Linked DNA regions of Canis lupus familiaris. The protein of the gene in region 1 purifies or fractionates together with the protein of each later gene. This does not show direct contact. Links are inferred from orthologs where the notes say so. Each region holds a gene or a part of one and is shown in the gene's direction. Other genes may lie near its edges.

Region 1 (5,239 bases):
TCTGTCGGTCGGGGCTTTGCTCTCAGCTCCAGGGAGAGCCGACGTGCACATTCGGCGACATTCGGGGACATTCGGAGCCCCGACGCCCCGGCGGACGGCGTTGTTTCCTTCCCAGGAGCATTTTAGTTCTATCTGAATTCAAAGGGATGGTTTTTTGTTTGTTTTCACAATCCAGTTCTCTTCATTTTTATTTCAGAACTTGCCATGTTGGAATTTTAGACTCTTTTTCTAGGCTTTGATTTGGGTTTAAGCTGGTTACGGCGCACATTGTCTGTCCATCTACCTGTTGTTAGGAGAGAATGTTGGGTGATTTTGTTCCTATGTCCTCCTAATGTTATTCGGGTTCTTTCTGTTCGTACTTTCAGCCACAAGATGACATGTTTGTACCAGCGGATCGTACAGACCCCACATAGCCCACCCTGGGTTGGGATTACCAGGCCAGGACCGATGGTCTGAGCGGGGTTGCGGTGCCTGGGGGACCCGGGAAGACCACCTGGAAGGGGCGGGTCGTCGTGGGCCGGACACCCCGAGCTCATGCTGCATGGACAGGCCGGCCACTCCAGGCAGAGGACGCACCTCAAGGCCAAGGTGCTCCCTGAGACAACAGGTGCAGACGTCGAGCCTGCCTGGGTGACATGCGGGCATCACTGCGCGTGGACTCCACCCGTTGACTCACTCACCTCCAGTCACAGTGAGGACATGGAGGCTTGGACTTGGCGGCCCGCTCAGGGGCAAGGCCTCTCAGAACACGGCGACGGGCGGGACTGGCACCCAAAGCCCAGCCGGTGTGTGACCCAGCCGCGTGGCCACCTGCAGAGCACGGACACCGCCTCCCCCCACAGCAGGTGCGAGGGTGCGTCCGTCTCCTCGCCCCTTGGGGAACTCAACAGCCCTCCCACGCACGACCACCTCACCCGTTTCTCATTGCACTACCTGAAAGAGTCTAGAAACGTGTTCACACCTGGACATGTGTGCACTTTGCCTTCTAGATGCTTTAGGATAATGTTCAATGAAATAATTCCCTGCATTAACCTGTAGGTGATGCCAGTATTAATGCTATTTTATGCAGAGAAATATCAGTATGTTCTATTCTTCTTTGAGAGGTTTTAAGATACCCAGCTCTACTGAGCATGGAAAGGTAATTCAAGAATCAAAACATTATTTTTTAATAGATCTTTTCCCTCACAAATCTAAATAATTTTTAAAAGTAATTTTTAGAGTGGTTGGTCTTGATTTAAGAGCGTCCTTTACCTACGTATGCCTTATAAAGCCCTGGAGGGTGAGGATGTCACTGTACTCAGAGTGAAGACAGTCACAGTCAAAGCTGCCTCGTCTTCATCTCTGTCTTTGTCTGGGATCGTTTGTTGACCAGGAACAGAAGCCCTCTTATACCACCTAAGGAAAAATAAAAATTTTACCCTAAGGACACTAAACTATCTCAAGATCCTAAAGGAATAAGTTTGATTTGGGTCTCACAAGAGCCAGAAAAAAGAATAGAAAGAAAAAAGAAAAGTCAGGACCCTCCACTATGCGGGCAACACGTGTCCCCTATGTCTACCTGTGTGTTTACCTGCTTGTCCTTGCCCTTGTACATCCATCGTCGAGGACACACGAGGACCCTCGGCAGTCTGGGGTGACTGGGAGTCATCCAAACGCGCAGCTGGGTTCGACCCCGAGCTCCTCGGCTGAGACGATCGGAAGGGTGCATCTAAGTGGTGGGCACTAATAAATCGCCTCGCCCCCCGCACGACCTGGTCCGCGTAACTGCCGGAGCAGGTGAGGGACTGTGGCACCAAGGGCAGGGCGTCGGGGTGGCAGTCACAGCGGTAGCACCGTCGTCCCTAACGTCGGCCCGGACTGTGTCTCCCCGTCCCACGGGACCTGCACAAAGGCGGTGCCAGCACCTTGAAGATACCTTTGTGGACCCTTCCTATGCTCATGTACCCGAGGATGGCTCGTAGGTCGATGTTTGATGCCCCCAAACGAGGTAGCCTGCAAACAACGGTTTCCTTAAAATCTCCATTTCTGACTTTAGGATGACATTTGACACGGAACCTTAATCACCGACGTGCGACTTGAGGACGAGCGGCTCTTCATCTAACAATTAGCCAACTTCCCCGACAAAGGAGCGATGGAGGTGAATGGAGAGAAAGGTCAAAAGACGGAGGCTAAAACTAGGTGTTAGCTGTTGTTGGGCTGGGCTTGCCTGTAGATTTTGGTCACGGCTCCGCGCACTGGCCCTGAGGAGCGTGGGTAATTGAGAGTTGGCTGGCTGGATTTCCTCGTATTCCCAGGTTCTATCATCTTTCAAGTGAATTTAGTCAGGGCTGATCCGACTAAATAGATTTCTAGCCTGAACCGCTGGTACCATTCCAGGGAATGCCAAGTGAAGGCCAGTCGGAAACACCGAGGCGGCATCTTTGTCCCCCTGCGGTTCCCTCTCTGACAGCTCACCTCGGGCCACAGCACCTGCTAGTCCCGGCGATCATGCGACGTCACTAAGGACCCTGGTGACAAGGTCCAGGGTGTCGGCTTAGGTTAAAAATATGTCTCTAGTACCTGTCGTCTCTGTTTTTCTCGGGTGTTCTGTGCCTTTTAATTCACCGCCCCCCCTTCTTACACGCCTGCTCTCTGATCTCTGTCTCTATATTCTGTTCCTCTTCTCTATCTTCTTCTGAGATTCCTGAGGTAGGTTGTTTATTCTTTCAGCAATCAGTGAGCGGTTGGGCAATGATTGATTTTGCCATTTTACCTGTGGTGCCCCCTAAAGCACAGCCCTCGAACGGAGGACCTGAAAGCACACTGGGGGGAACCCTTGCCTTTAATCGCTTCCTGCTTTCCGTGTGTGAGATATACATGCGCCACACAACTCCATAGAGTTTTATTCAGTCAAAAAAAGTTGCAGTTAGCAAAACACAGCAACAGGCTGCTGTAGACGGAATGTTTGTGCCTCTGGATCCCCCTCCCCAGACTCCCTCCTATACATAGGTTGAAATCCTAATCTCCAAGGTGATGGTGTCGGGTAGTGGGGCCTTTGGAAGGTGGTTAGGCCAGTAGAGTAGAGGCCTCATGGATGGCACTGGGGTTCTTATCAAAGGGGCTCCAGAGGACGCGGTCACCCCCTCCCTCACCCTGTGAGGACACAGCAAAGAGAGCCCTCCAGGAACCAAGAAGCCCGCTCTCACCAAATATGCCAGTGCCTTGATCTGGGACTTCTCAGCTTCCGGAACTGTGAGAAATGAATTTTTCTTGTTCAGAAGCCAGTCTATGATATTTTCCTTAGAGCAACCCAAAGACACAGACCTTCCTCATTTACGACTTTAGAAATGTCCCTAACAGCAGCAGACATCCTTGTCCCTTACCACCCTCCTCTACCCCCCGCCCCCAGCATAGGCAGGTCTTTAGTAACCCCGTCTTGCGTACGTGCTTTTACCATCTGCGTCTTTTATACGTCCAGATTATCCTTCTGGTCACACCTTCTGACTCTCAAATGCATTTGGACACAAGATTTGAATATTTCTTTGTTATCAAATACCTGATATTATGTGACTCTCAAAATGGCACCATCCCCTTATTATCCGTACTCTCAATGTTGCATAAACCTCAAGAGGCTCATATGCACCAAGAGCTTTGGGGGTGCATGTTCCTTGAACAGATGCACGGGCTTATTTCCTTTGATCGCTGTCTGCCCACGCTGAGGCAGGGAGCGGCCACCATGGTCCTCCTTAGGGAGATGCCCCAACAGACAGCAGTAACCTGGAGAGCCAGCAGGTGAGTGCGTTTCCCCCTTTCACTGGGGTTCTGATCTATTTGATGTTTCTAACCGTTGGGGAGAAAGGAGGTGCAGCCTTGCCCCAGGCCTGAAAAGCAGACTAGCTCTCTTGGCGGTAGAGGCAACAGTTGAGGCTCTTTGCATTTCTCTCACACTGTTCATTTTCCTTTGGAAACTCCTTTTCGAAGTCCCTCTCTCCTCCATCTCATGCAATTCTTTAAGCCACAAAGAATCCATCTTAAAAATAAGGCTGTAGTTCATCCTTCCAAAAACCAAGGTAGACCCACGCTGACCCACAGTTGCCAGCCCAGTTTCTGTGGAATTAGGAGCGTCCGATGATACAACTTCCAGTTCTCCTGACTTCCTCTCTCTCTTTCTCCTTTGCCCACTTTTCTGCTTCTCCACATTTCCTCTTGGACTATCAGCACGTTCGACTTGCCCGTGGGGAGCTTGGCGGATGGCACTCAGCATGGAAGAGCTGATGCCTCTGACTTTGAGCTGTAACTTCCCAGTTCTCTAAATTTCTTTCTTTGAGATTTATTGCAGTGAACGGCCACTGAGACACTGTGATTCTCAGAGTAGGCTCTATTTTATTCTAAGTTCAAAAATTACCATGGCCTAGTATCTATCTATCTATATCTATGTTTCTCACAGTTTCACAACTCTCATGCACTATAGACTGAGTTTTAGACCAAAACTTATCTAATAAATATTTATTGTGTGTCTTTATGTACCAGGAATGAGAATACAGTGGTAGAAAAGACAGAAAGGTCCCTGGTCTCCTGGAATGGGCATTTTAGGAGCAGAATAGTTGCACATTTGACTTATTCCGGAAGCCAGAGAGGAAAAGATTCTAACAGGCGGAAGAACGTATTTGCGGTGTTCTGTAGGATGCGTGCCATAGACACCGAATTGAAAAACAGTTTCCATCACAAAATATTTCAGATTAATTACTTCCATTCAGGAAATACATGCTTCTTATTTTCTCCAAACTAGAAATTACTTTCTCTGTCTTTTCTTTGAAGTTCTCCTAAATCTGTTATTATTCAGTGTCTCTATCCAATTTCTCATCAAACTGCCCTATTTGTAGCTTCCAAACTTTAACACCCCTAGGCTGAGATGGAGCCTCTAAGATGATTTAGGGGCTGAGACTGTGTGAGGCAGAAACGGTATTTAAGTCCTTCATGAAATCAAGAGCTTTCCAAGTGCTGCATTTTGGGTCGATAGGGGGTCTTTGGTCACTCTTTATTTTTCTTCTTCTTCTTCTTCTTCTTTTCTTCTTCTTCTTCTTCTTCTTCTTCTTCTTCTTCTTCTTCTTCTTTCTTCTTTCTTCTTCTTCTTCTTCTTCTTCTTCTTCTTCTTCTTCTTCTTCTTCTTCTTCTTCTTCTTCTTCTTTCTTCTTCTTCTTCTTCTTTCTCCTTCTCCTTCTCCTTCTTTTTTATTTTTTTTGAAGGAGGGTGTAGGAGG
Region 2 (5,322 bases), on another chromosome or scaffold:
ATTTTTTCTATTATAGAGGGACTACTGAAGAAACATTTCAAGTTTTCAAGTCTAGTTAATTCCTGTTCAGCTTTTTTAAAAAGTCATTACTCATTTTTTCTGTATTACTTTTGTGAAAAGACCTTAACCTTAAGAATACTAAATTCAGATAAAATTTTGTATTCTCCTAATGACTAGGGGCTGAGGTGTTTAAATGACCTTTTTCATCCCAGGAGATGGGCTGCTGTAGGTCAGGCTTGAGGTCATCGTCTGATGAGTTACAAACAAAGTCATAGTTTTGGCTGATGTTACAGTAAACTTGGACTACGGACAAAGCTGATGCTTCCTCACTGATGAAAGAAAAAAAAAATTCAATCCTGCCCTCTGAATACAAATAAACACGGGCTATAGTCAGCCAGTTTTAGTGAGTTGGAGTTTATAATATTTCTAAATCTGGTACCCATTGCTGTGTGACCATATGTGGTCAGGTTAAAGTTAAATGTTTGGAAAGATTTCTGGGAAAATAGAAGTATTTCCAAGGAAGGAGAAAGAATCTTAGAACTGAAGAGAGGGAAAAACCCTATTCTTGGTCTATTTCATTCTTTTGTATCCAGAAAGACTAACAAAGGAAGAGTCCATAAGTGGATACTCTATTCGGAGAACTGCAGGAAAAGTGTTCTTATAACTTCCTGCTGTGATGCACTCTAACTCAGTCTTTGAATAAAAGAAGCTAATGATGCATGGGAATTTGGATGATTACCACAATACGTGAATATTGTGATGAGAGTTGCCCCATCTTGAAAACTATTTGTCTTGTTGGTGTCCCTTTAAGATGTGAACATTCAATAATTAAAGGAATTGTAACCTCCGATCATCTGGTCACTAAACATCTACTAATAAAGACCAGTTATTTTAGCTTTATTTACCCTACTGGTTTCTACTAACCATGTGTTCTTGTAGGGAGATAGGGAGTGCAGAAGTCATCAGAGAGCTGTCTCCTGGAATCCCAGAGGACATAGCCAGAGATGACTGACACACAGCATTTTACTTTCTGGACCCTCTGCATTTACTTTTTTTTTTAGGATTCTCATAGAAAATTATTATATTTTCCTTACTACATGTATTCTAAAATAAGTTATTTAAATGAGAAAAAGTAGTACATGCATGTGGTTAAAAATTAAAGTTGCACAAAAATAGGACAATTGAGAAGCCTTCTTTTGCAGTTTCCAGTTCCCAGTTCTTCCCAGATGTAGGCATTACTGAAATACTCTATGCCTATCAAAGCATACATATTGTGGGTGCATGCATGTTTTTCCATCATGAAAATGGAAGCAGAAGGGCACCTGGGTGACTCAGTCTGTTAAGCACCTGCCTTTGGCTCAGGTCATGATCCCAGGGTCCTGGGATTGAGTCCAGGGTTGGGGATCCCTGTTTAGCAGCAGCCTGCTTCTCCATCTCCCACTCCCCCTGCTTGTGCACTTTCTCCCTGTCAAATAAAATCCTTAAAGAAAAAAAAGAAAGAAAGAAATTGGAAGCACACCATACACATGGCAGCATGCCTTATATTTTTCACTTGTTTTCCATTTTGTCAATATATCTTGGAGATCATTCCATAGTCATACATAAAGATTGACTTCATTTTTTTTAATTGCTATACTTCATTACAGAATTGCATCTGTAGTGATGGGCTCTCAAAAATATTTATTAAATGAATGACTTTACTATAATTTCATTTATAGGCCTGGTAGGTACTGATACCCCTCCTTTTTTTTTTTTTTTCATTAGGCTCCACCCTGGGCATGGAGCCCAATAGAAGGCTCACCACCCAGAGATCAAGACCTGAGTTGAAATCAAGCATCTGATGCTTAACCCACTGAGCCACCCAGGTGCCCCGATAACCTTTTTTCTTACTGCTTAATTCCAGGCTTTTGCAACCATAAATAAAGCTGAAGTACATACATTCATACATCTGTGGACATATGCGCGAATATGTCCGTAGGATAAATTCCTAGGAAAGACATTGCTGGCTTAAAAGGAGCACATTTCAAATAATTGAGTGCTCTAGCCAGTTTGATCTCAGACGAACAGTGACAGAGAGTGCCTATTTCCTTCTATCCCCTAATGCTATACATTGAACTTTCTATGTCCATCTGAGAAGTAGATCAATATATCTCATCCTAGGTTTAATTTGCATTTCTTTTACTCACATGTTTGATATTTCATTTATATATTTTATAAGGTAATCTACATAAATATTATGTGCTTATATACTGTTTATATTTATTTTTCTATAAAAAACTTGTTCATATTTCTTTGCCTCTGAGTCTTTTCTCAGTGGTATTTAAGGACTCCTTACGTGTTTAGAAGATTCACTTTGAGATCATGGACACTGCATAGCTTCCCAGTTTGTCATTTACCTTCTGAGTTTGTTTACAGCAGGGGCAACCCTGGTGTGGGTACTTATACTAAACCCCTATCATTGAAGGGGTCATTCATAGTGCTTTCCCAAAACCAAGAAAGTTTGTCCCAAAGGTAATTTCGGGTTCCCACTTTTTCAAGGTTGCTTTAAGATGACTGGTATTTTGTTGCTGTTGTTTTCTATTAAAGTCCTGACTGGGATCCCTGTCCATTCCCACAACCCCAGACCCAGGGTGCCCTCCCAGGCTGATAGAACACTTACTGCGTCCCAGAGGCTCCCATATGCATGGTTTGTTCCCACAACCATCCCCTCAGTTATTGAGCCCTTAGGACTGTTGGATAGGCCACACCATAGCCTGCCAGACATCCTGGGAAAGCGTTTCCCGCCCTGCGCTGCCATGATGCATAGGTTTGAATGCTACTTCCTGACAGCCCTCATCTGTGGGACTAGTGGTCAGTCAGGCCATCTTTTTTTTTTTTTTTTAGATTTTATTTATTTATTCATGAGAGACACAAGAGAGAGGCAGAGACATAAGCAGAGGGAGAAGCAGGTTCCTCACAAGGAGCCTGATGCAGGACTCGATTCTGAACCCCAGGATCACGCCCTGAGCCAAAGGCAGACGCTCAACTGGTGAGCCACCCAGGTGTCCCCAGTCAGGCCATCTTGATGGATTCCTAGGTGTCTTCCATCTCACACAGCTCAGTTCAGACCCAGAATCTAAGATAACAGGTTTTTTTCTCTGAGTTTTGGCACATAAAAAAAAAGTATCTTAATTGAGGGCCAGGATGCCCATTTAAACTAATGTCAAAATAAAAACAAATGGTCAATGAGATTAGTTTCTGAGCAGATTACACAGAAAATAAAGAATAACAGAGTTTTCAGGTAAAGGGTCATCTTTGTCATGTATTTATTACTAATAACATCTGTTTGAATGGAATGAATATAAGGATGGCTGAGCTCCTCCTCTGATAGCTCTTCCCACGCAATTCTTACTATTGAGTTGATCTAATTAAAAAATATAGACCATATGAAAAAAAAACTTTTACTTTTTAGCATCCCTTTCTTTAAAAAGTAAAAGAATAAGTCTTTGTGGTTGTCCCTTGGCCCTCAGAAAGGCCCCAAAGATACCTTAAGAGTAAAAGACATCATGAAGTTTTAATTTTTCTGAACTTAGGGGTTGAACTTGGGAAAGCAACATCAAAGAGTCTAATGAAAGGAGACTAGTCGCTTGATTAATGGAGTCACATAGGTAACTGAAAATAATGAATGACTAGATTGGCTATTTAGTAGAGTGACAATATAATATTTAAGAATAAGGGGAGGTGGGCAGGGGATGGGGTGACTCGGTGATGGGCACTTGATGGGATGAGCACTGGGTGTTATGCTACATGTTGGCAAATCAAACTCCAATAAAAAAAATACAAAAAAAAAAAAAGAATAAAAATTGCCAACTGTAACATAATTAAGCCTTGGCTATTTCAGGAACCTTTAGGTGTTTATTGTTTGTTTATTTGTTTTTCAAAATCAAGAATAAAAAGTCAAGATAAAGCACAGAACATTATTCTGGTGAGATCAGGATCTGCTACCTGGACATAAAAGATAAACAGAAAAAAAAAAAAAAGATAAACAGTACTTTTTTATACCTCTTGTGGAAGCAAAATAACAGCTGATAGTCATAATGACAACTTGAGAAGTGATAAAATTATTTTTGATGTACAAGGTTTTAGAAGACAGTCATTTCTGCATTTTAGTGGGATTTCATAAAGACATAAGTTTAGTGTGGTTTCATTAAAAACAGTTAACATTTAGAGTTCCACAGTCATTGACCACACCCATACGTAATGTAGACAAGGAGACAAGGAGTGGTTTTCAAAAACAACTTTTTAAAATGAAATTAATGCACACATTCTCTTAAAAATACTTGTTCACGCCCTACTTAGAGCAACAAGGCCCAAGGATACTACAATATTTAGGGTAGAAAGAGCCCTCCTTTAAGGGATCTTGTGTTCTACTAGAGTAAAGGAATTGATAATAAGTAAGGAAATAAACAAGATACAATTTTAGACAAGTTTTATGTGATAGTAGCCAGAAGTTATTGATATAAAATAAAAATAATTTGACTACCCAAAATAATGAGTACTAACATTTTAACACATATCATTCTAATATGTGTTTGGGAGTATCCATATGGCTACACAGAGCATGTTAGTTTGTATGAATATAACATGATTTATTCAAATTAGTTTGTTCACTTTGTTGGTCTCTCATTTTTTTCTCCATTACAATCAATGTTATAAAGAAACCAAAGTTGCAAACATATGTAATATTTTTCTTTAAATTTCTTGCACAAAACCTTATTGGCTCAAATGAAATTTAATTTCAAAAGTTGAAGGACTCAATGCACATATTTTTAAACTGCCCTTCCAAAATGATACAGTAATTTATCCTCCATCCATCAGTTCATGAATGACATGACAATACTAACATCAGTTCTTTTTTCTTGCAACTTTAGGGGAGAAAATTTTCATTTTTATTCTAGCATGCATGTCTCTATTTGTTCTAATATGTAATTTACATACCAAAACATTCACCCTTTTAAAGTGTACAATTCAGTGTTTTTAGTATATTCATAAAGTTGTGCAATTATCACAGCTATCTAATTCCAGAGCTTTTTCATCACTCCAAACAACAACAAGCCCATACCTATCAGCAGTCATTCCCGATGTCTCTCTTCTTCTAGGCCCTGGCAACCACTAATCTGCTCTGTGTCTCTGTGGATTTGCCTATTCTGGACATTTTGTATATCCTACAATATGTGGGCTTTTCCATCTGGCTTTTTGACATAGCATAATATTTTAAGGTTCATCCATGTTTTAGCATGCATCAGTTCTTCACTTCTTTTTATTGCCAAATAATATTCCATT

What was found. Proteins that work in one complex are often made in the same cells at the same time.
Region 2: the proteins of SDC2 (region 1) and FGF2 purify together in Homo sapiens (affinity purification with mass spectrometry; 4 studies listed by BioGRID and IntAct, counting the BioPlex papers as one, with this or other methods). This does not show direct contact. The link is inferred for Canis lupus familiaris from reciprocal best matches to the Homo sapiens genes SDC2 and FGF2.

Annotation. Positions count from the first base shown.
Region 1 is NC_049250.1:41,598,798-41,604,036, forward strand, and holds the start of SDC2 (syndecan-2), read left to right. Parts: upstream 1-1,950; coding exon 1,951-1,987; intron 1,988-5,239. UniProt on the Homo sapiens protein: Cell surface proteoglycan which regulates dendritic arbor morphogenesis.
Region 2 is NC_049240.1:18,290,352-18,295,673, reverse strand, and holds the start of FGF2 (fibroblast growth factor 2), read left to right. Parts: upstream 1-1,968; coding exon 1,969-1,974; intron 1,975-5,322. UniProt on the Homo sapiens protein: Acts as a ligand for FGFR1, FGFR2, FGFR3 and FGFR4. Also acts as an integrin ligand which is required for FGF2 signaling. Binds to integrin ITGAV:ITGB3.